Linked DNA regions of Caenorhabditis elegans. The protein of the gene in region 1 interacts with the protein of each later gene in a pairwise test. Each region holds a gene or a part of one and is shown in the gene's direction. Other genes may lie near its edges.

Region 1 (4,626 bases):
TTTGAACCGCCATAAAACAATTTTTAAAAAATTTAAAATTTTTGAGCAGTTTTATTACAAAATTCGTTCATTTGAGCTCATTTTAGGCTTCTATACGTTCAAAATCGTCCGAACCGTTTTTCCAATTTTTTGAATTGATCTCGATTTATCGCTCTATTTATCACTAAATTGTGTACTTTTTTTTGTGTATTTTTTATATTTATTCATTATTCACCATTATCATCATTGTGACGCTTTTCATTGAACAACAAAACAAGACATTTTTCAAATTAATTATCGTTTTTTCCGTTGTATTTTCAACTTTTTTGATGTGGTTAAATACCCCCCTCAATGCTCTATTTTTGCTCTTTTTCAGCTCGAAAACTGGAATTTCTACTGAAATTTACGTAATTTTTGCCATTTTTTCGCTGAAATTTGCTAGAAATCGCTAAAAAATGCGAATTTTTCGGAAAAAAAGCCCGATTTCCTCAATTTTCATCAAAAAAAGTTCAAAATAACTACAAACTACAGCTTTTTGGGCGCTGCTAAAACTACAAACTACAAGTTTTGGGCGCTGCTAATTCAAATTATAGGCGCTGCTAAAACTACAAACTACAGCTTTTTGGGCGCTGCTAATTCAAATTATAGGCGCTGCGAAAACTACAAACTACAAGTTTTGGGCGCTGCTAATTCAATTTTAGGCGCTGCTAAAACTACAAACTACAAGTTTTGGGCGCTGCTAATTCAAATTTTAGGCGCTGCTAAAACTACAAACTACAAGTTTTGGGCGCTGCTAATTCGATTTTGGGCGCTGCTAAAACTACAAACTACAGCTTTTTGGGCGCTGCTATGCTTGAATTTGTCAATTTTTTCGATTTATTCGAATTTTTTCGCTTAAAATCAATTTTTAATCAAATTTTCTTCAACTTTCCTGAATTCTAACTACAAACTACAAGATTTTAGCTCGATTTTTCTCAAAAATGCTTCAAATTTCGGAAATTTTCCGGGATTTTTCCCTGGAAAAATCGAAAATTTTCAAATTTCCTACAATTCCCGCTCTATTTTAGCGCTGCAAAATCCCAATTACCCCAAGAAAATCGATAATTCCCCCACCGTCCTACAGGTCCCCCCGTATTCCATTTTCTGAGCAGATGTTCATCCCGCGTTCTCTCTCTCCCTCTCCACGAGGCCTCCTTTCTCTGCGCTCTCTCTCGTTTCTCCACACTATTTCTCTCGTTTTCTCTGTTTTCTCTGGCGTCTCTCACTACGCGCGAGCTCCCTCACACTGCCGCCTTGTTTGAATCTACGCGGGCCTCGATATTTCGATATTGGACCAATTTCGACCAATTTTCTCGCAGTTTTTTGTTAAAAGTCTCTTTTTAAGGTTATTTAGTCATAATTTCATTGAAAATTTCGAAAGAAATTCCAAGAAAATACGAGATTTTTGCAGTTTCCACAGTTTTCTGTTAAAATTCTTGATTTTACAGACATTTTTCCTAGAAATTTTGCCGTTTTTCTGCTCACTTCAGTGAAAAAAATCGATTTTTTCGCAATTTTCTGCCCATAAATATGCTTTTTCCTCGCTGAAAACCCTGAAAATCTTTTCAATTCCCCGCTAAATTTCAGCAAAATTTCGTCGAAAAGTGGAATGAAGAAGGGAGCGTCGAAGCGGAGACGCGACGACGATGACGGTGACGTTTCGATGACCGGCGACGACGATGATAGCAGAAGTGGTGCCGCTGTGAAGGTTGAAGTGCCGAAAGGTAGCGAAATCTGTGTGGAATTTTCGGCGAAAATGCGGAAAAATAGCTCTGAAAAACGCATTTTTTAGTGATTTTCTCCGACAAAATCGAAAAAAATCGAGCAAAATCCGTGAAAATCTGGCTCCGGGCAGCCCGAATACCCTCAAAAAGTGCAATTTCAGCGTCAGAGCTCAAGTTTTTGCAATAACTGACTGGAAAACTTTGATTTTCTGGGAAATTTGCATAATTTTTCCATTTTTTCCGGAATTGAGAGTTGAAAAACGCAAAAAATTGGTTTTTTACACTCGAAAATGCTTTTTTCAACACATTTTTTACGCAAAAGTGAACTTTTTTTTTTTCAAGTTTCATTCGAAAAAGACCGAAATTTGAATTTTGGGCGCTGCTAAGCTAAATTTTAGCGAAAATTGGTCAAAATTCGAACATTTCCAGAGCGCATTTTCAAAATTTCTACTCATTTTTTGGAAAAAAAATCGGAAATTTAAATTTTAGCCAAAAATGGAATTTTTCAGCGCTTTTTCTTCAGATTTTCTTCGAAATTTCTGAAAAAATCGCATTTTTATCTGATTTTTCCAGAAAAAAACCAATTTTTCGGTCAAAATTGCATTTCAGGACCAAAAAAAACCAGATTTTTCCAAATTTCCTTCCTAAAATTTTTTTGGGCGCTGCTAAAGCTACAAACTACAAGTTTTGGGCGCTGCTAAACTACAAACTACAAGATTTGGGCGCTGCTAATTCGATTTTGGGCGCTGCTAAACTACAAACTACAAGATTTGGGCGCTGCTAATACAATTTTGGGCGCTGCTAAACTACAAACTACAAGATTTGGGCGCTGCTAATTCAATTTTGGGCGCTGCTAAACTACAAACTACAAGTTTTGGGCGCTGCTAATTCGATTTTGGGCGCTGCTAAACTACAAACTACAAGATTTGGGCGCTGCTAATACAATTTTGGGCGCTGCTAAACTACAAACTACAAGATTTGGGCGCTGCTAATTCAATTTTGGGCGCTGCTAAACTACAAACTACAAGTTTTGGGCGCTGCTAATTCAATTTTGGGCGCTGCTAATTCAATTTTGGGCGCTGCTGACCGATTTTGGGCGCTGCTAGACTACAAACTACAAGATTTGGGCGCTGCTAATTCAATTTTGGGCGCTGCTAACACTACAAACTACAGGTTTTTTGCGCTGCTAATCCAATTTTGGGCGCTGCTAAACTACAAACTACAAGATTTGGGCGCTGCTAATTCAATTTTGGGCGCTGCTAACACTATAAACTACAGGTTTTTTGCGCTGCTAATCCAATTTTGGGCGCTGCTAAACTACAAACTACAAGATTTGGGCGCTGCTAATTCAATTTTGGGCGCTGCTAACACTACAAACTACAGGTTTTTTGCGCTGCTAATCCAATTTTGGGCGCTGCTAAACTACAAACTACAAGATTTGGGCGCTGCTAATTCAATTTTGGGCGCTGCTAGACTACAAACTACAAGATTTGGGCGCTGCTAATTCAATTTTGGGCGCTGCTAAACTACAAACTACAAGTTTTGGGCGCTGCTAATCCAATTTCCCCTCAATTTCCAACCAATTCTCTTTTGCAGGAAAGGAAAAAGACGCCGAATTCAGCGCACCAAAAGGCCAAAAGCTCACTGATCTCGACGAAGAAGGTGTCCAATCAACAAAAGAAGCTCCACAACTCGCCGAAGGAAACGTCATTGAGCAGACCCACTACATTGTAGTCCCCTCATACGCCGGCTGGTTCGACTATAACGCAATTCATCAAATCGAGAAACGCGCAATGCCTGAATTTTTCAACGGAAAGAATAAGAGCAAGACACCGGACGTCTACGTTGCCTACCGTAATTTTATGGTCGACACGTACCGTCTGAATCCATTTGAATACGTGTCTGCGACGGCTTGTCGCCGGAATTTGGCCGGTGATGTGTGCTCAATTGTGCGGCTTCACTCGTTTCTCGAGCAATGGGGCCTGCTGAATTATCAAGTTGATTCGGATGCTCGGCCGGCTCCTGTTGCTCCGCCACCAACAAGCCATTTTATGGTTTTAGCTGATACACCGACTGGCATTCAGCCAATGAATCCACCTGGAAAGGAGTCTGCTGGAGCATCTGGGGAGCCACCAAAAGAGGAGATTAAGACTGAGATTGAGTCCATTTCGACGCCCGGCCTGAAAATTGATCAGTATCAGAAGCAGGCCATCGCGATGAGAGTGCGTACCTGGCGTCTGCCTTGGTTTTTCAGTGCAAATTTGAGAAAAATTGGAATTTTCAGTGCAAATTTGAGAAAAATTGGAATTTTCAGTGCAAATTTGAGGAAAATTGGAATTTTAGTGCAAATTTGAGAAAAATTGAAATTTTCAGTGCAAATTTGAGAAAAATTGGAATTTTCAGTGCAAATTTGAGGAAATTTTGAATTTTTAGTGCAAATTTGAGGAAAATTGTAATTTTTAGTGCAAATTTGAGAAAAATTGGAATTTTTAGTGCAAATTTGAGAAAAATTGGAATTTTTAGTGCAAATTTGAGAAAAATTGGAATTTTTAGTGCAAATTTGAGGATAATTGGAATTTTCAGTGCAAATTTGAGCATTTTCCGGCTATTTTTGAGCGAAAATCGGCAATTTCACACAATTTTTCATCGGAAAAATCGATTTTCACTGAAAAGTTTTAATTTTTCGACCAATTATTATGGAAAACCCGAAAAAATCCCTCAATTTTTGAATTTTTCATCAGAAAAATCGATTTTCGCGAGAAATTTTCTGATTTTTCGGCCAATTGTCATGAAAAACCGAAAAAATCCCGCAGTTTTTGAATTTTTCAACAGAAAAATCGATTTTCACTGAAATTTTTCGAATTTTCAGTGAAAAATCCCAACA
Region 2 (7,886 bases), on another chromosome or scaffold:
AAAAATTGAACTTTTTGTTTCTGCTGTGATATCTTTCACGATAAAATCTTTTGAAAAACCATCGCTTTTATAGTACTAGAGGTGTTAATAATTGACGGTTTCAAGGCTAAGATCACGCGATTCTTTAGTTGAATTTGTTTTTTGATTGTTTGGACTGTGAGATTGTAATTTTTTTAATCTTGTAAGTTTTTGTGCAATGAAAAATGCCTTAACGACTTTCATATAAATTTCTCTTATTCCTCTTGTTTAAAATGTCTACCACAAATTTTTAACAGTTATAACTAAATTGGGCAAAATTTGTTATTTCAACTTTACAAAAAAAATTTAACTTTTTTTGAATACTCTCTGTAGACGCGGTTTTTTTTTCAGAATTATGGTGGCCACCTTTTCAATAAAAAAAAATTATCTGAAAAATGCCATGGTCTCTCTGACCTTCGGCCCACATTGTATCTACGGATTTCATTCAAATATTTGCGGTTTTTTTTGACCGCTTGATCAAACTAATGAACTTTCATCAATGCAAACAAAATTTTTTCGCCAAAAGCAAATGACTAGCCAACTTTTTTTTTCTGTTTATGTTCAAATAGTTCAGTGGTTTCTTGTTAATTAATTATGACACAGTTTTGGTCACAAAATTTGAGCGTTTTTTTCGCTGAAACAATTGCACAAATCTAATACAAAACATTCTGATATCACACGCATCAATTTGGCGAGATTTCAAAAAATCAAACTGAGATGAGACCAGTGAAAACAAAAAATATATATGAGTCATCTAGAAAGTGATCTATACATTTTGTAGATCTTTTTTTAAAAATTGTGATGTTTGAGTACTTACAATGTAGGTCTACCACTTATTTTTTCTAGTTAGCTCACTATTTTATGCTTAGCATAGGTCAAACTACCCTTATAAAAAAAAACAATTATTTAGGTAAAAACGCTTGAAGTTCTTTTTTTCCTTTGTTTTGCACGAGAGGTTTTTTGTAAGTTTCTTATCAATCTCTTTTTTCAGTAAAAAAAGATCAAAACATCAAACCGAGGTCATGTGCACTCTCTTGTAGCTCTCTACTTGTTCCCTCATTATCTTATTCCCCCCGTCTTCTCACTTGTTGGTCCAACTACGCTCAACTTATCGATTCTTTGCAGCGAGCACTGCCACCTCAACACACTTTTAGCAATGAAATAGTGTGCTGGGCGAAGAGACGCAGACACACGTACGTAGTTTAAGAGTGAGCGAGATAGAGTGTGCGTAACGAGAAAAAGAGATAGAAGACGAAGAAACAAGTAGTGGTTTGGTTTCGATCTTTTTTTTTTAATTTGGGATATTTTTATTTTTATTTTCGAATTGTCAATTATTATTATTAATAGACTGTCAAAAATTACTTTTAATACCCCGTATTTGAACACGTTCTTTTTTTTATTTCTCTTAAATTGATTCCAAACAAGTTCCTATTAACACAATTCTTTTCAATTTTCTTTTCGAAATCATAATATTTTTTAAAAGTTAAATCTGTGGTTTTTTGGTTTTCCTTTCTGAATATGTTTTTACTGAAAACACCAAAAAATCTTGACAGTAGCTCAAAATATCAAGCTTTACAATTAAAGTTTTTCTCAACTTTTTTTTTCCCCTATAAACACAATCTCCCTTTATTCCCAAAAATACCACGAAACATGATATTTCAAAAAAAAAAGACAAACAGGTTTATACCACAGTTTGTACCTTTTATTGTCCATGCTGGTATTGTATTTCCTACTTCTTTGCCGCCCGGTTTTTCCTTGTTGTTTTAATTTTATTCCAAAACTCAATTTTACAGGTAATCAAATTGTAAAGGAAAAATATTAATAGTCAGAGTACACATAAATGGGTGATCATCATAATTTAACGGGTGAGTTTTTGTTTTATTGAAATTACTTTATTTTCGGAATGTTATTTAAAAAAAAGTTACAGTTTGAATAAAAAAACAGGATCTTCTGTTTCAGTTTTGAAAAAAAAACCAATTCCATAGTCCATATCCCAACTTACAGGCCTTCCCGGTACCTCCATCCCGCCACAGTTCAACTATTCTCAGCCCGGTACCAGCACCGGAGGGCCGCTTTATGGTGGAAAACCTTCTCATGGATTGGAAGATATTCCTGATGTAGAGGAATATGAGAGGAACCTGCTCGGGGCTGGAGCAGGTTTTAATCTGCTCAATGTAGGAAATATGGCTAATGGTGAGTTTAAATAGTAGCTATAGGAGTGAAGTGTTTGGAGTGTCGTGTTGGATATAAAATATCAATTAAAATAGATTCGAATTATTCAGAAAATCGCTTATTTTGGTAGTAGAACAAATGTTGATAAGTTAACAGACATCTTCTTTTTCCAATTAGTCTTGCACCCGAAGTGACTAGTTGGAAAATAGCCTTGCAGTTTCTATTAATTTTGTACATACTAATCTAGTACATTTCTAGAGAAAATTTTAGTATTTTAAGGTGGCAACGAGTAGTGCGGAACTCAAAATTCTCTTACATTCTCTTATATCTACTTACATTGAAAATTAATTTTGCACTCAAAAAATACCAAATAAAAAATAGGGTACTTGTTCCCGCTATTTTTGAAATTAATCAATTTTTCATTAATTTATCTATTTAAATTAAACTTGATATCTATTTTCTTCGTTGGGCTCAGGAATGGTAAATACGAGTTTTATAAGTTTTTATTTTATAAGTTAAAAAATTAATTTCTAAAATAGCGGAAGCATAATACACAAGTACCAAAAATAGTTATACATGCAATTTTGTCCATAGAATACTCTGAAACAACCTTGGTATTAGCTGCAAAACTGCAACATTATCAATTTAAAAAGGTATTTCTAATTGCAAATAAAATCGTAGCATTTCTAACAGTTGCCTAATTCTCGCTTTCTATTTTCAAATTTCAATTTTTTTTAAACTTTCAAGTAATGCAAACTCTGTAAAACACTGAAATCTAGTGAAAACCAAATCAATTTCCCTACGTGATTAGTAGTCGTGGTGTATGGTGGTTTGTGTTGGTTTGATATGCTTATTTTCCTTTTTGTTTTAAAAACCTTCCCCGTTTTGTTGCTTTTTAAATTTTACATTTCAAACTGAAATTCAGAATTTAAACCAATAATCACATTGGACACGAAACCACCTCGTGATGCCAACAAGTCATTGGCATTCAATGGCGGGTTGAAGCTAATCACTCCGAAAACTGAAGGTAAATAACGTCGAACATAGTAGTATAGCTTGAAAATAAAAAAAAACGTTGAATATGATGCATAAATGGTGCAATAGAAGGTTCAAAAGAATTTGTTGCCAACAAAAAATCTAAAATTTCAACACGAACCTCATGATGTTTACCGTCTGGCAGTCACTAACACACGTATTGATAAGCGAATTGTTGCCAAATTTCGTTGCTTATCAAACCTTATTTCTCTCTGACCATGAAGCTAATAGCAACTTCTCTTCTAGTTCCCGACGAGCACACACCGATGATGTCACCAGTGAATACAACTACAAAGATTCTACAACGGAGTGGTATTAAAATGGAAATCCCGCCATATTTGGATCCAGACAGTCAGGATGATGACCCGGAAGATGGTGTCAACTACCCGGATCCAGATTTATGTAAGTGGCAAAAAAAGTGTGAGCAAAAGAACTTAATATATTTTCAGTTGACACAAAAAACACAAATATGACCGAGTACGATTTGGATGTGTTGAAGCTTGGAAAACCAGCAGTAGATGAAGCACGGAAAAAGATCGAAGTTCCCGACGCTAGTGCGCCGCCAAACAAAATTGTAGAATATTTGATGTATTATAGAACGGTAAATACTTAAGTTTGTAGTACTGATTACAATATTGCATTTTCAGTTAAAAGAAAGTGAACTCATACAACTGAATGCGTATCGGACAAAACGAAATCGATTATCGTTGAACTTGGTCAAAAACAATATTGATCGAGAGTTCGACCAAAAAGCTTGCGAGTCCCTGGTGAAAAAATTGAAGGATAAGAAGAATGATCTCCAGAACCTGATTGATGTGGTTCTTTCAAAAGGTACAAAATATACCGGTTGCATTACAATTCCAAGGACACTTGATGGCCGGTTACAGGTGAGATCAAAAAAAATTTCTAGGACACATTTTGAGCCTATAGACATTAAATTATGATCTTTCAACGAACCTACGCTAGATAAATGATCCGACTTTTAAAAGTTTTGGAATTTATTTTGAGACGTTTCATTATGAAACTTGTATTAGACCAGCTTATGATATCAAAGTACCCACAAACTCCATACAAATTACAGGTCCACGGAAGAAAAGGTTTCCCTCACGTAGTCTATGGCAAACTGTGGAGGTTTAATGAAATGACAAAAAACGAAACGCGTCATGTGGACCACTGCAAGCACGCATTTGAAATGAAAAGTGACATGGTAGGTGAAGTAAGTGTGAATTGTTTCATTTTTCCTTTGATGTGATGTGGCACATGTTAGCTTCTTCCCTTATTCGGTTAACTCTGTGACCTTTGTTTGATTAAGTTGATTGCCTAATGTTGAGAAGATGTGACTTTTAAAAGTTTTAATATGAATATTAGGCCTTACAGGTATGCGTGAATCCCTATCACTACGAAATTGTCATTGGAACTATGATTGTTGGGCAGAGGGATCATGACAATCGAGATATGCCGCCGCCACATCAACGCTACCACACTCCAGGTCGGCAGGATCCAGTTGACGATATGAGTAGATTTATACCACCAGCTTCCATTCGTCCGCCTCCGATGAACATGCACACAAGGCCTCAGCCTATGCCTCAACAATTGCCTTCAGTTGGCGCAACGTTTGCCCATCCTCTCCCACATCAGGCGCCACATAACCCAGGGGTTTCACATCCGTACTCCATTGCTCCACAGACCCATTACCCGTTGAACATGAACCCAATTCCGCAAATGCCGCAAATGCCACAAATGCCACCACCTCTCCATCAGGGATATGGAATGAATGGGCCGAGTTGCTCTTCAGAAAACAACAATCCATTCCACCAAAATCACCATTATAATGATATTAGCCATCCAAATCACTATTCCTACGACTGTGGTCCGAACTTGTACGGGTTTCCAACTCCTTATCCGGATTTTCACCATCCTTTCAATCAGCAACCACACCAGCCGCCACAACTATCACAAAACCATACGTCCCAACAAGGCAGTCATCAACCAGGGCACCAAGGTCAGGTACCGAATGATCCACCAATTTCAAGACCAGGTACGTATGATTTAAAAAAAAAACAGTTGTTGTAAGGAGAAAAAGTTATTCTGACAGTAGGCATGAGGGTTGAACTAGAGGGACGCCGCAATTGCAAGAATTGTCGATTGCCGAAAATTTCCGACTTTGAACGGATGTCGGCAGGATGTGCCGGTCCGCTGTCAGGGTGGGCGGCAATTGCCGTTTGGCAATTTTTTTTGTCCACAAATTCAGCAAATCGCCGGAAATTTTCGATTCCGGCAATTAGCCGGTTTGCCGATTTGACGGAAATTTTAATTGAAGCAATTTGCCGATTTGCCGATTTGGCTGAAAAAATCGTTTGCCGCTCACCCCTGGTTTGGTGTTCCAGCCGAGAGCTAATAATTTTAGTCACTCAGCCACACAATACTGCCACCTATCAAGGCATGGATTTACAAAGGTTTAATATCTCCAGGTGTCAAACCAGAAACGGCAAAATATTATTTATGGGTACCTCATTATATAAAGGGGTAGAATATAAGTAGGCGGACAGGTGCATAGCCAATTCCCGCAGTTTAATCCTTTTTGGGATGTCCATTAACAGAGCCTTATTTGAATTTTTCTATTGGATTTTCGCCCTTTTCCGATGAAAACGAAGCGTTTTCAAACTTCACTAAAAGTGCAGCTTTTACAATTTTGACTAAATTGCTCTAGAATTAAGTATGAAAAAATTTTATGAATAGTATTGAGAGTTCATATTCTTTCGCAAAATAATCAAGAAATCTCTGCAGGAAATTTAATGTTAAGTTTAATCCTTATACATAAATTCTAATATAAGTACTTGATAATAACGAGAAAGGATGAAGCCCCTCAAATATTTGCCTTTTAAATTTGCACGTAGGTTTGAAAAGGCATCAATTTTGCAAATTTTTTTTTCGATAAACATTTTGCAGTTTTTTTATTTTAGATCTCATCAAAATATCTTCTTCTGGTAGACACATGTAATTTATTTGAAATTGATTGGAAAATGCCAACTTACAACATTTTGAAAAGGTGTCCTGCCAATTTCATATCAGTTATCAGATTTATTTTCTAAAAAAATAGCCAAGTTGAGACCACGAGGCGTATGATTATAGTTGTATAGTCGGTGATTTATTGCATAAAGAAGTTGGTTTAAAAGCAGTGATTTTGATTCTCAAAACTCATTTTTTTAGAGATTTTCTACAGCCGCTTTGCGAACAATTTTACTTTTCATCATACATGATACATTTTTTTGTCGCCTTTTCAGTTCATTCCTAAAATTTGTAAAACTTGAAGTAAACTCAATTACAGTGTTACAACCATCAACAGTCACCTTGGACGTGTTCCGTCGGTACTGTAGACAGACATTTGGAAATCGATTTTTTGAAGGAGAAAGTGAACAATCCGGCGCAATAATTCGGTCTAGTAACAAATTCATTGAAGTAAGTATTTCTAATATGTAGCTACTATGTACGTGTCACTCAAGATTGACAGCTTATCGCATATAAGTTGTGTCGATAAGGTGCCAAACAAAATATTGAATTTAATGTCACTTTTTGCTTTCTGAATCATCAAACAAACGATTTTTGTTTTTCATTCAAGAATATTGTGTTTTTTCTAGGAATTTGATTCGCCGATTTGTGGTGTGACAGTTGTTCGACCGCGGATGACAGACGGTGAGGTTTTGGAGAACATCATGCCGGAAGATGCACCATATCATGACATTTGCAAGTTCATTTTGAGGTTCGTTCTAGTTTTCATGGAATTAAAAGCCAAGTATTTTTTAGGCTCACATCAGAAAGTGTAACTTTCTCAGGAGAGGGGCCAGAAGTTAGTGATTGTAAGTTTCTTTTTTTTCTCTCTAAAGTTCACTTTAAAAAATCGTGTTAGTGATTGAAAACAAAATGAGTAATTATGTATTATACCCCGCCAACATAAAATTAAATTAAATTTTCATTCATAACTTTATTTAAATTAAACGTGATATGGATTATCTTCTTCAGATTTAGAAATGGTTATCATCAAGAAATCTTCCACACGTTTTCATGCTTTATTTCTTAAAAACTTTCATTTAAAACGACGGGGATATAATACATAAATACCCAAAAATGTAAAAGATCAAGTAAATTTAAAATGTTCACAACATAAAAAAAAACTGCTTGCTTTTTTCAGTGAACGAAAAATGGGGAACAATTGTGTACTATGAGAAAAATTTGCAAATTGGCGAGAAAAAATGTTCGAGAGGAAATTTCCACGTGGATGGCGGATTCATTTGCTCTGAGAATCGTTACAGTCTCGGACTTGAGCCAAATCCAATTAGAGAACCAGTGGCGTTTAAAGTTCGGTAAGTAAATCTGAAACTTATTGATATATTATAGAACATAGGTACAATTTTTTTTACAATCCAATTTTTTGGGCAATGACAGTATCAGGGTAACAATCCAATCCAAATTCGGAAATGTTGTTCGATAGTTTCCAGCTTATGAATTTTCTAACTAAAGAAATAACACAAATTTTTAAAGCTTTTGAACCATTGAAATGTTTCAGTAAAGCAATAGTGGATGGAATTCGCTTTTCCTACAAAAAAGACGGGAGTGTTTGGCTTCAAAACCGCATGAAGTACCCGGTATTTGTCACTTCTGGG
Region 3 (7,618 bases), 500 kb from region 1:
AAAAAAAAGATTGGTAATCCCTATTCCCCTTAACAAAGAAACGATAGCAAAGGCCTAAAGAATAGTGTTACAAAAGATTCTACCGACGATGAGCTATGCGGAAAGCGGAACCATTAAACTTTTGTCAAAAGGTGATAATGGACCATCTAACTTATTGGTCACTTTCCTGTCTTTGTAACTATTATGTTGATAACCCTCATTATCAGTGCCCTTGATGGACGGAGCAACGAGAGGGCAATGCTGTGAACGTCTCTTTTGATACAGTAACTATCCATTGGGAGATTAGTCATTCCTGAACCTAATACTAGTTTCGGATGCTTGGGTGTGGTATGCAATGAAAAATCAATGAGACGGAACTTGAACTCTGTTTTTTGTGAATCGTTGAAATGATTCACCTGTTCCAAGTTATTTTTGGGAGTATTAGCGTCTCATTGATTTAACTTTCTTATTGCTTTTTTTTGATTTACAGTAATTATTATACCAGTATTGAACACTTTAATAGTCTCGCACAGACTTGTTACCAGATGTACCGTATCTATTAATTAAAAAAAATAAATCGGAACGATTTGAAATTTTGAAAATTGTGAAAATTTTAATTTTCGTGCCTAAAACAGCATCAAGCAAATTTTTTGTCAAAGCTTGATTCTTTTTCTCAAGGTTTTCAAAAATTCAAAAGTTAGTACTGTGCCTTCAATAAAACTTGTAGTCTCTTAGTCTTACACACCAACGGACCAATGGACATTGTATGAATGACTGAAACAAAAAATATATTATACTTTTTTGTGATATCTTTTTAAATTGCCCTTTGTTAATACTACCTAATTCTTAACTGCTATTAACTGCTACACAACTAGCCTTATCTTGCTCCCATAACGTATCTAAATGTCGCGCGCGCGGCGTCCGTCCTCTTATGTATCTGTACCAGTCACAAAATTGTGTTGATGAAAAAGGCAAGAAGAAGAAGAATGGCAGTTGAGGGTGAGAAATTTATTTTTCCTATTGTCGTGGGGGAGATTGGACGGTTTCATTTTTTCAAATGAGATATTAAAACATGATTAGGAAGAGTTGAGATTAGCTGATTGTGAGCTTAATGATAGTTTTTGGAGTTCAATGTTAAACTTTCCATTTCTACACCACTATACGATTCTGGGTCACTAAACACCCTTGCTCAGACGGCTTTTCAAAGAAACACCATCTCCCCTCTCCACCACCCTACGCCTGTACAAAATGACTCAAAAGGGCACCGCGCCCGCTCTCGGTCTCCGATCACTCAGTCTCTCTCTCTCCCTCCACAACCCAAAAAGGAGGCTTGCAGAAGTAGAGAAGCAGAGAGTGACGATCGCTGTCTCCAGGTGTCCGTGTCAAACTCTCTTATCAATCAGTGCTCTTTTTCTCTCGTGTTACTGCGTCTCTATGTCCATTCCCTTCTACTCATTCCCATACAGCCCCCTTCTACACCACCATCATCACCATCACACTGTCACAGTGTTGATAACGAAGAGTCGTATCAAGAGACCTAACAAAATCACCCAACCCCAGCCAATATTACCTTATACACCCTATCTGTCCACTGCGTATTTTTTGAAGGACTATCTAATTTGAGATACAATGACATCGCCATCCAGTGATGAGGACATTATTGATATAAGGGTAAGGCACCAGTTATTTTCTGCTTCATGCATCGTTTTTTTTTAAAATTGTTCGGGGCCTCTGAAAACGTTTTTGTTAGCTCCCGGCTGTATGCTCACTTTTTTCGAAATTAAAAACTTACAACCATCTTTGCCACACATGTTTAATCTATTTCTGCAGCTACCTTTCTATTTCTCTTCTGAAACAATCTGAAAATGAGCACCTTCTGTGTATAATAGCACATAAGTGCTCATTAACAGGGGATACTCGATGTCAATATGACCCGGCCAGGATGCTAGGTTGCCACCTATTATTGCTCCATTGGTATTCTGGGAAGATGCACATTTTGAGAATATCATGAACATCTGTGATTTGTCAGAAATAGTTTAGGTTATTGTTCAGCTTACCATATTTTCTTCAAACATCACTACAAACTTTTTTAATGACATTAAATACATTTTTTCTAAGTTCAATAGCTTTTTTGGAATTTGAATGTTAGTCATGAACTCTTAAAATATGCAAGGCTCAAAAAGTGAAATTGTTAAAACTTTCTTTTAAGATTTTTTTATCGATTCTCTTTTCGGAGAGATACAATGAAAATTTGATTCTCACGGTCCACGCACAAAGTTTTTTCTTCGTTTTGCTAGAAAAAATTTCTATGGAACAATTTGAACATGTTTTGAAACACTGTGGAAAATTAAAAGTTTTCATATTTCGATAATAAGAGCTCCCGAAAAAAATGCTCCAAAAACAAAACTCGGGCCATCCAAATATTTTTTGTTTCGATGGATGAAATGCGATATTCACCGAAGGGGCACCACCACCAGTGGCTCCGAAAGCTTCCACCCAAAAATGGGAGCCTCCTAGACGTATATTTTGTGCTCTTTTCTACTCTCTCGCTCCTCCTTCCCATGCAAATATTTGACAATTTCGCAGTGTGTATGTGATATCAGTTTTTGTTTGCCAATTGTTGTTTCTTTTATTTGCCATGTTCGTTTCACACGGTTTCAGTGATAAATATGTGATAAGCTTCAAGACGAACCTAATTTTTTTAGAACAAAATATGACGAAATGGGGTTCAAAAGTTTGGATTTACCATGGAAAATGTTTTTCTCACTTTACAATTACTATTCTTATAGACATGAATTTTCTTTTTCCTAAAAACGTCCCACACTTTTTGATTCTAATATACCTACACCTATTTTGAAATAATGAAATCATATCGAGTGAGTATTGATAAGAAACCTCTTCTTCCGCCTACACTGCTTTCTACTCTATTTTACGATTATTGATTATTTTGGAGAAGTGTATAAGATAATGAGTCAGCGCAGTTAATGCTCAATAATAACAGGTGCTAAAAAATAGGCGGCAGATGGATGATAGTCGTCTCAAGTTTTTTTACGATTTTGAATCACAGCTGGAAAAAACGACTGTTAGGGCGAACATCTGGACCCAGAAATATTCATTCAAAATTTGCTTGAAAGAACCATTCAAAATCGGACTAAAAACGGCGGCAATAGTAAAAGGAAATAGTTTTTAAAAAAAGGCGAATCGGCAAACTGCCGGTGCCGGATATCAGATTTGCCGGAAATGTTTAGAGGGATTTTTTCGTAAGACCGAAACACTTTGCCGGAAATTTTCAATTCCGGCAATTTGCCGATTTGCCGGAAAAATTGTTTGCCGCCCACCCCTGATTGATACCACGCCTCTTTTCAATCAATAATAAAAGTTTTAATAAAAATGTGAGAGGACCCATAGCGGTATTGATAAGGTGGTCTAAGAAAAGAAAAAAAATTAAGATTTCTCTTGTAGATTTTGTTGAAACATTCACATGTTTTTAAAAAAATAGCGATAGTTTTTTTTTTCAACTTCGCCGCCACGTAGTAAAACCCTCGCATCCCGAACCTATTTCCAACCCACTCTCATTTCGTCATCGTTCTTCAGCTCTTGAAATTGCCGTTTGTATCATTTGGTGCTATATATTGCATTTTTAAGAGATTTCCTTGCCGCTTTTCCTCTCATCAACCCTTAAGCTTTCGCCGAAATTGCCCCCGGACATATTTTCAATTTCTTCACATCTGAATCCTCCTCCCTCCTCTATCCCACTTGTATGTAATTCTATACCACACCACCTCATTCTTAGTATCCTAGTACGTGCTAGGCTAGGACACAAAATTGGGTCAAGTGGAAAAGAGATATTTTGGAAAATTCAATGAAAAATTTGAGAACTTTTTAACAATGAAAAAAATTAAACTATTTTGTTTGAAGGTCATCAAAGAGGAGCCAGAGTCGGAACCTGACTCTGAAGCCGAGCCAGCCACAACCACGAATTCAACGGATTCAGAAGATTCTGTGGAACAGGAAAATAAAAAGTTATTGGAAACCGAGAAGAATCGAAAACGCGAGCAGAAACATAAAATGTTGCCAAATGGAACCACTTCTGGGACCTCCGACACGGGAAATCAGGTGCCTGCCACGTCGTCGGCTGCTTCAAGTGTAGACTATACGGTAGGTATGGTGCGGCAAATTTGGTAGGGTGTCAAAAATAAAGTAATAATAATAATCGTCATTTTTAACCCAAGCTTATCAGAATAAAAAACCATATGGCTAGTTGTATAACCGTCTGGCGTATCTTTTTGATGATTAATTTTTTGAGTAGGTAAATGCACTGTGAGTCATTTAGTTTTTTTATTCTTCTGTTTAACTTGTTAGTTTCTGCAATAAGTTTTAAAATTTCAATTCGTTAATCAATTTTTTAAATCGAAAATATTTCTTTGAAATTCAATCCCAGATTCTGAGTATATCACCAAAATTTAGAATTGCGAAATATTTTGAGGTCCAATACGGCTCAACATTAAAATCAACCAAAAATTAAAGAGTGATAACCAAATAGGGATTATGTTCAAGACGCTGTGACACCAAGAAGTTGGCAAAAAAAATTTGATTTTAGCTGAAAATGGGCAAATTTTTTCTAGAACTTTGAACCGCCATAGCTTTTTTTTGAGAAATTTTTAAAACGTCTCATTATGAAATTCGGTAGTTTTGCGTCATTTTGGGTTAAAAAAGCAAAGTCTCAGATTTCGGTACTCCTCATTTAATAAAAATTCGATTTAAAATTGTAGCAGTTAGTTTTTTTTTTGTAAAATTTTTTAGAAAAGTAGCTAAAAAGTAGCAAAGTGATGGTGTCCAGAAGAAAATAGAAATTGTGAGGTCCTCCTACCAAAAGAAGAAGGGGCTGGGCGTCGTGTTGCCCAAGAAGCCAAATATTTATTCAATTTCTATTTATTTATCCGACGACGACGAGGAACCCCCCCCCCCCCCCCCCCCCCCCCCCCCACCGTCCACAAACACACACACAACCAAAATTAGAATTCTTAAAAAAGCACCACGTGGAGATTACAATTAGTGAAACACCTATACTATTTTCAGCCATGAGTCAGTTGAAATCTAAAACAAGGTAAAAATCCGAAATGGGCGGAGTCCGCGACGGGGTTACTGTGGCTAAGCGATAGGCGGTGCGCACGCGCATAGGAGGGCAAGGTAGGCGGAGTCCCGCTGCTCTAGTGCCTAGCCTCTCCTTCACCTCTCTTCTTCAGTACGGGGCGTTCTACTTACCTTTGAGCATCATCTTTTTAAGGAATTTCCAAGGCTCAGGTTCAGAGGTCAAACGGGACTTATTTGTTCATTTCCATGTCTAGCTCCACGTGTGGGGCTTCCGAATTTTCTAAATATTTGTTATTTGTTATAAACACACACACACACACACATTTTGTATTTATCTTTAAATATTTACATAATCCCAGACCTCAAAGCAAACTTTCAATTTTTTTCTTGCAGGCCATGAACGCTCAGGACTATCTGCCGACGTATTCTAATACTACGTTAAACTACCAACCATATCAGGTAAAAAGTTTGACCCTGTTCTCACTAATAAGTCTAATAACATCCATTCTACTTTCAGTACCAGACTGCTGCCAATGGACTTCTGAACTACAACAACTACAGCCAGTATGCCACTGCTAATCAGCTCGGATCGAACTACATCAGCCCAGCCAATTTCATGCAAGGAGGAGGAATTTCACCTCTTGGTAAGTTTTAAAATATCCCTAATTGTCTAAATACTAACTCTCACATACATAAAAACAGTATAGCATATAATTATTTTTAATACGGTTAAGACAATGCATGAATTTATATCTATAGACAATCCTGATTAAATAAATTATTGTGAGATACTCTTCACTCTGAAAGCTCTAAATATTTCCCAAGCACAAAATGAGTATCCATTATTCATTCATACCTACCTTGAGTGGCGCTCTCTATACACAATTTGTAATTTGATCTCATTCAGGTTTTACCACTGGCACCACCGGAGCCACCACAGCGGCCGCTTCCGTGGCCACGTCGTCCGCCTCAGCGGTCATCGGAAGAAGCAATGGACGATCAAGCTCGACGGTTGCTGCATCGCCAGCCGATAGGTCTTATTCTGGTGTAAGCGGAGGGCAAGGCCAAGAACTCACGATTCAGGAATTTGAAACTGTCACGGAAAAGATCAGAAGACATGGAACTTATGGACAATCGAAACCTCCATACTCTTACATTAGCTTAATTACTATGGCAATTCAAAAGTCTAATTCTAGACAATTGACATTGTCTGAAATCTACAATTGGATCATGGATTTGTTCCCTTACTATCAGAACAATCAACAAAGATGGCAAAACTCAATTCGCCACTCCCTCTCCTTCAATGATTGCTTTGTAAAGGTTGCCAGGTAAGAGTCTTGAAAATTAAAGTTTTTTCTGGACACGTTTTGTCCCGATAAAAAACTTCTTATTGTTTTCCCACAAAAACCATCATTTCCTATTATAATCGGAACCTATATAGTTTATCTCAAGGACTACCTTTTCTGCAGCGCCACATTTATTATACCGTGCGCCCAAGGGACACCCATTGATGCGTGAAGCTGTTGAAATGAGAAATTACCGGAGAGAGTGAGGGTGCGCGTTAGTGAAAAGATTTGACAAAAAATCTATATGGATGTTTTCCGGAAACGATTTACAAAGACTAAGTTTATAATTTTCAGGTCCCCTGACAAGCCTGGAAAGGGATCCTTCTGGACTCTTCACGAGCACTGTGGGAATATGTTTGAGAATGGATGCTACCTCCGTAGGCAGAAGAGATTCAAGGTCAAGGAACGTGAGCCATCGAGAAAGAAGAGAAATGCCAACTCCCAACAATTGCATCAACAACAACACATTCCAAAAATGGAAATCAAAGAAGAGGATCCAACATCCATCACGACCACATCATCACTTGGTGCTTATTCTCTGATCCCTCAAATTTCTACAAAGAAGGAGATCAAGGAAGAGCTGAAAGCTGTGCAAGATGCAACTGCAGCTGCTGCCAATCTTGGCCTAATTGACCCATCGGGAACGCCGTCGGCTGTTAATCACAGTCAACCTACTTCAGTGATCTCAAGTGTTGGCACACTAGGAACCACGCAAGCACAGGTAAGATAAAATCTAGCCAGTGAATACAATATTTCAAGCTCCCATTTTGAATTTTTTCAGATGACACTCAATGGTCAATACGCGTCTCCTTACCTCTACAGTTCGGATTTTGCCACAATTCTCCCACAATCCCAGAATTTCCTGAACAACACACTCTACAACACAACGAGCAGTTATCCAGGAATTGACTACACCAACGGAGTATACCAGAATACTCTTTACAGGTATGTCTGATGGTATAACTAACGATGTTTTGTTGACCCCCTACTAATTTTTTTCGTTTGTTTTCCTTGTTTAAAACACATCATTTATTTTCTACGGTCTCATGATTATTTTGAATGTTTTAGAAGTTAACAATAAATTTCAATTTAGTAAAAATTGGAGTCTGGTTCTACTCGGTCATAATAGTAAGATTTAAAAAAGTACTAACGAATTTGATAGTATTGGTTTTTATTATCAAGGAAAGTATTTCAACTTA
Region 4 (4,816 bases), on another chromosome or scaffold:
TTAAAAAATCCAATTTTTTCCAAATATTCGAATTTTTTAGATGCAACATGTCAACCGCAGGGCTGGTACCCACAAATATATGCTACAAAGGATACGTCTGCGGAGTGAAGCCCACTAGTCTAAATTCAACATTTTAATTTTATTTTTCAAACTTCCAGGTTCATAAACTGTTCGAGAAGCCCACAGAAGCATTTTTCTCGAGAGTTTCCGAATTCGACCTGCTAATTTTTGAAAGCAGTACCTGAATTATTGAAAACTTCTTATTAAGACTTCTAATTTTATTTTGCTATTCAAATTTCATATTTTCTAGAACTTTTCAACTTTTTGTCCGACTGGCTCAGTGGGATTTTGGGTGACTACCAATTTCACCACCTGGGTTCGAGTCCGCGCCTTGGCATATTTTTTTGTTTTAGTGTTATTTGGCTAATATCGACATTCTGAATCCGAATTTCAAGGTCCCATGCCTTAAAACTCAATGGGTTTCCTCCAAAATCAATATTCCATTGCAAAATCGTCCCTCGTCCCATATACTACTAAAATTGAAGTCAGCGTCTCGACTCTGTGCTCCCGAAAACTGAAATATGATCGCTTCGCCGCTTTCGCACGCTCCCCATCTCCCTATACTCTCAGAAATGAGAGGAAAATAAGGGAAGGGGGTAAAATCAACAAATAATATCGATTTTTTGAGAAGGTATAAAAGTTCGAAAAAATCACAAAGCAGTGTGGAAATGTCTAATTTTTGACCGAATTCGAACTCGGAAAGTCGAAATTTAGTAGAATAACACCAAAAAAAAAATTATGCCACATCGCGGACTCGAACCCCGGACCTCAGATTGGTAGCTGGCTAGAATCCCACTGAGCCACTCGTACACAAAAAGAAATTAAGTTTGAGCCGACCTAGCAAGTCTTTCTGGTTTTGAGAGTTGAAAATTCGAATTCAGGAGATTTGTATTATTCTGAGAACAGCAAAACAAAAATTCATGCCACAGTGCGGACTCGAACCCCGGTCGTAAGATTGGTAGCCGGCCAAAATCCCACTGAGCCATTCGGCCAAATTTTCAGAAAAACTTGAAAATTACGGTTTGAGCTGATTTTTCAGCAATTTCGATATATTTTTTTTTTCCAATTTTGAACTTGTTTTAAAGTTGTTCAAGCTATTGGAGACCAAGCTTCGAAGGGATATATATATATCCCCAAAATGTTGAAAATGTTATTACAAATAGTATATAAGTCAGAAATCCGTGTTCAGCAGGGCTTGTATAGTCAAACCAATAAATAAAAAAATTTATGACACAGTGCGGACTCGAACCCCGGTTGTCAGATTGGAAGCCCTCCAAAATCCCACTGAGCCATTCGAGCAAATTTTCAGAAAATCGAGGTTTGAGCTGATTTTTAAAAATTTTGAGCATTTTTTGGGACTGTTCAGCATATGTCTCATGTGTGCTAGGTGCAATGAGCTATTAAAATTTAAGCTTGATAGTTTATTTTCAATAAAAAGTTAAAAATTTGTATGTTAAAAATTCGTGTTCAGCAGGGCTTATATAGTCGAACCAACAAAGAAAAAAAATTATGCCACAGTGCGGAGTCGAACCCCGGTCGTCAGATTGGTAGCCCTCCAAAATCCCACTGAGTCACTCGTACAAAACTTTTTTTTCAAAATTAATTTTTCAGAATCCGAAAATAATGCGATTTTCCACCAAAAGGCGGAGCTCCGAGCAGACAGCCGACTGGCTCAGACATACGGTAGCTCAGGGGTGAGAGCTCCGAGAGCTCAGAGAGCCGGCAGAGAAAACGAGAGCACACACACACACACAAATACATCAGAGTCAGTCTCTCCCTGCTTCTGCGTGCCAGTTGCTCAAATTTTTGCTCAACAATTTCCAAATCTATATATCTGAAATTGTTCGCAATTCCTGAATCAAAAAAAAAATGCTTCCAGATTCTGAGGTGAGTTATATGTCGCTTCAGGGCGCCCCCGGGCGCCCGGTACCCCATCCCAAAAGTATCAAATATCGGCATGGTGATGAAACTGGAGAAAGTTCTGCGAGAAGGGTCTGTCTGTAAGATGAGCTCTTCCAAGACACCCCCCCCCCCCCCCCCCCCCCCCCCTCCATGTACCTCCTTTCCCCATTCAGTACCTAGACAGTTCTAGCTAACCTCTCCTACAATGTTCTCTGTATTTTGTGAGTTTTCTAAACCGTGAACTTTAATTTAAAAAACTCGAAAAATCGATATTTCTAATCTTAAAAATGTTCCTGAATGGCGCAGTGGGTTTTTGGACAGCTTCCGAGCAGAAGCCCGGGGTTCGAGTCCCCGCTGTAGCATTTATTTTTGTTTTTGTGTGGATGAGCTATATAAATGATTCTTGGCTTTAATTTCCTTGTAACCCAGAAAAAAAGCTCTCGGAGCTCAAAACGAGTAGAACTGCGAATTTTAATGGTACGGGGTTGGGGTTTCAGATAAAAATGTAGATTTTTAAGCTGAAATAAACTTTTTTCAGAGCTTTTACTCTTCATTTTTCGCAATTTCGAAAATTTGGTCCAAGTGGCGCAGTGGGATTTCGGATGACTTCCAATCTGACGACCGGGGTTCGAGTCCGCACTGTGGCACAATTTTTTCATTTTACTGTTTCTAGATTAATTTGAGTGCGCTGAGTTCAAATTTCTATCTTTTAAACTTCTAGGTTGAAGTTTTTTAGTAGAAAATTCCGAACTTTGTTGCAACTCGGAAAAATAAACAAATCAATAATTAGCGAAGTTTATAATCCACGTAAACAAATGTCTGGGTCACCTGGTGCTCAATGAGCACACTTATTTTTGATTTTCACTATTTTTCCAAAAAGATACATTTTTAACTAGGAACTTGCTCCGAATCGCCTTTTAAACTGACATTAATCAGAAAAATTATCAAAAATTATGATGTACATCCCTATTGTAAATTTTGGATTTTTTTTTTGGTCAATTTATGCGACTAGTTGATTTTAGGCACCCCTTAGTCTTTTTCCAATACCCAGTTGAGTCTAGATACCCCCTCACGCAACCATATTACATCATTATATAGCCATCATTAGCCAACTTGCAACAGTTGGGGGGACCCCCTGTGGTGACGGGATCGAATTCAGAGGTCTTGGGGCTCTTCGATGCACAATTTCTGTGGCAAAGCAGTAAAAAATCCAAAAATAAAATTTCGAAAATTTGGTGCAAGTGGCTCAGTGGGATTTTGGTGGGCTTCCAAGCAGAAGACCGGGTTCGAGTCCGCGCTGTGGCTTAATTTTTTTTTTTTGGTGTTTTAGACTAATTTGGGTATAGGCATGTCGAAAATTTTAGTCACGAGTCAGAAAATGGCTCAATGAGCATAAGAGATGAGTTTGAAAATTTCCTGGCGCTTATTTTTAAATTTTTAAAACCCTCGTAACTTTAAAACTAGAATAGCAAGAAAAAAGTTTCCAACCACAAAATTGTAGGAAATTTTCCAAGTAATATTTTGCTAGTTGACAACTTTCCTCGAACTATGCTCTCCACCGAGTTATGGTAGAAATCGCAACACCTGTTTGGTGGCGGGGAGCTCTGAGAAAACTCCCGCGGCTCTTTTCTTACCTGTTCGCCGGCGGTCACTTGAAACTAGATACCCTTATACCTTTTTTCCGCACCGGGCTCTTACTAAGTTTTAGGGCTTTTGGGGAACCCTCCGGGATTGATTCAAGTCAAATTTTTTTGGCCGGTTTTTATCAAAATTTTAATTTTTTCACTCATTACTTCACTGCCCCCCGGCCTAGTTATCACCTCCACTACCGTGTATTTGAACAACAGCGACATATGTAAAGCTCCTGTGCTACTGCTCGCCGAGCAAACAAATACAGATGGCATTGTTTGTGAAGCACCCCGTCCGACGCCTTGAAAGTAGTGAGGGAAGAAGAAGCTGAGAGCTGTATGTAAATGGAGTGGTGGCTCGGGTTTCGTCATTATTCCTGAGAACGGAAATTCGCAAGCTTTGGAGGGGTCCTGATGGGGTTCAGAAGTCTGTAAAAGCATTGAAAAAGAAAAAGAAAAAATATATGCCACAGCGGGGGTTCGAACCCGGGCCGTGAGATTGGTAGACGCCGAGAATCCCACTGAGCCATACGGTCAATTTTTTTGAAAATTTTGAAAATCGAGGGTTTTTGTTGGTTTGTAGGCAATTTCTCCAAATTTTGAGCTGGTTTTTAAAATATCCTGGGCTCAGTGAGCATTTCAAGATTTGATAAAAAATTCCCCGGTTTAGTATAAAAACACCTAAATAAAAATATATGCCACAGCGGGGGTTCGAGCCCTGGTTGTAACTTTGGTAGCCGCTGAAAATCGCACAGAGCCATTTGGACAACTTTTCTGAAAATTTTTAAAAATGAGGGATTTTTGCTGATTTTCAATTATTTTGTTAAGTTTTTTTTTTCAGTATATTAGCCTCATTTTTAGGGTATTCTAGGCTTAATGTACATCCGAATCAAGGGTGTCATTTTTCGATTTTTCGATTTTTTTGATTTTTTCGATTTTTCGATTTTTCGATGTTTTTCAGTGAAAATTTACTGTTTTGATTATCCTTCCCTGTGGGGGAACCCTTTTTGAATAGATATTTACAACCTCCTACAACGAAAAGGTTCAAAAATAAAACATTATCAGCTGTTTTGTAAGTTTATTTCAAAAATCGAAAAATTTTTCGATTTTCGATTTTTCGTTTTTTTCGGAAAATCGAAAAACGAAAAATTTTCGATTTTTCGAATTTGAAAAAACGAAAAATCGAAAATTTTTAATTTTTCGATTTTCTGGAAAAATCGAAAAAC

What was found.
Region 2: the proteins of swsn-1 (region 1) and daf-3 interact in a two-hybrid assay, tested with the Caenorhabditis elegans proteins (one study listed by BioGRID).
Region 3: the proteins of swsn-1 (region 1) and pha-4 interact in a two-hybrid assay, tested with the Caenorhabditis elegans proteins (2 studies listed by BioGRID).
Region 4: the proteins of swsn-1 (region 1) and eya-1 interact in a two-hybrid assay, tested with the Caenorhabditis elegans proteins (2 studies listed by BioGRID).

Annotation. Positions count from the first base shown.
Region 1 is NC_003283.11:20,246,462-20,251,087, reverse strand, and holds the start of swsn-1 (SWI/SNF complex subunit SMARCC2), read left to right. Parts: upstream 1-1,605; 5' UTR 1,606-1,627; coding exon 1,628-1,742; intron 1,743-3,338; coding exon 3,339-3,964; exon of another isoform or gene 3,965-4,626.
Region 2 is NC_003284.9:819,399-827,284, reverse strand, and holds the start of daf-3 (Smad protein daf-3), read left to right. Parts: upstream 1-1,858; coding exon 1,859-1,883; intron 1,884-2,022; coding exon 2,023-2,211; intron 2,212-3,115; coding exon 3,116-3,217; intron 3,218-3,438; exon of another isoform or gene 3,439-3,443; coding exon of another isoform or gene 3,444-3,471; coding exon 3,472-3,627; intron 3,628-3,674; coding exon 3,675-3,826; intron 3,827-3,872; coding exon 3,873-4,112; intron 4,113-4,306; coding exon 4,307-4,441; intron 4,442-4,593; coding exon of another isoform or gene 4,594-4,602; coding exon 4,603-5,263; intron 5,264-6,553; coding exon 6,554-6,684; intron 6,685-6,863; coding exon 6,864-6,985; intron 6,986-7,029; coding exon 7,030-7,082; intron 7,083-7,414; coding exon 7,415-7,586; intron 7,587-7,789; coding exon 7,790-7,886. UniProt on the Caenorhabditis elegans protein: Transcriptional regulator and common SMAD (co-SMAD), required to regulate entry into a developmentally arrested larval state known as dauer, in response to harsh environmental conditions.
Region 3 is NC_003283.11:20,751,444-20,759,061, forward strand, and holds the start of pha-4 (Defective pharyngeal development protein 4), read left to right. Parts: upstream 1-1,608; coding exon 1,609-1,650; intron 1,651-3,897; coding exon 3,898-4,137; intron 4,138-5,085; exon of another isoform or gene 5,086-5,294; intron 5,295-5,466; coding exon 5,467-5,532; intron 5,533-5,590; coding exon 5,591-5,717; intron 5,718-5,980; coding exon 5,981-6,401; intron 6,402-6,713; coding exon 6,714-7,140; intron 7,141-7,200; coding exon 7,201-7,364; intron 7,365-7,618.
Region 4 is NC_003279.8:14,228,356-14,233,171, reverse strand, and holds the start of eya-1 (Protein phosphatase eya-1), read left to right. Parts: upstream 1-1,811; 5' UTR 1,812-1,929; coding exon 1,930-1,947; intron 1,948-2,141; exon of another isoform or gene 2,142-2,183; intron 2,184-4,070; exon of another isoform or gene 4,071-4,140; intron 4,141-4,816. Other genes in the region: clec-114 (PAN-3 domain-containing protein), read left to right, coding at 41-137. UniProt on the Caenorhabditis elegans protein: Tyrosine protein phosphatase. Acts probably as a transcription regulator in the embryonic and postembryonic development of several tissues including pharynx, vulva and gonads. Required for the development of anterior tissues during late embryogenesis.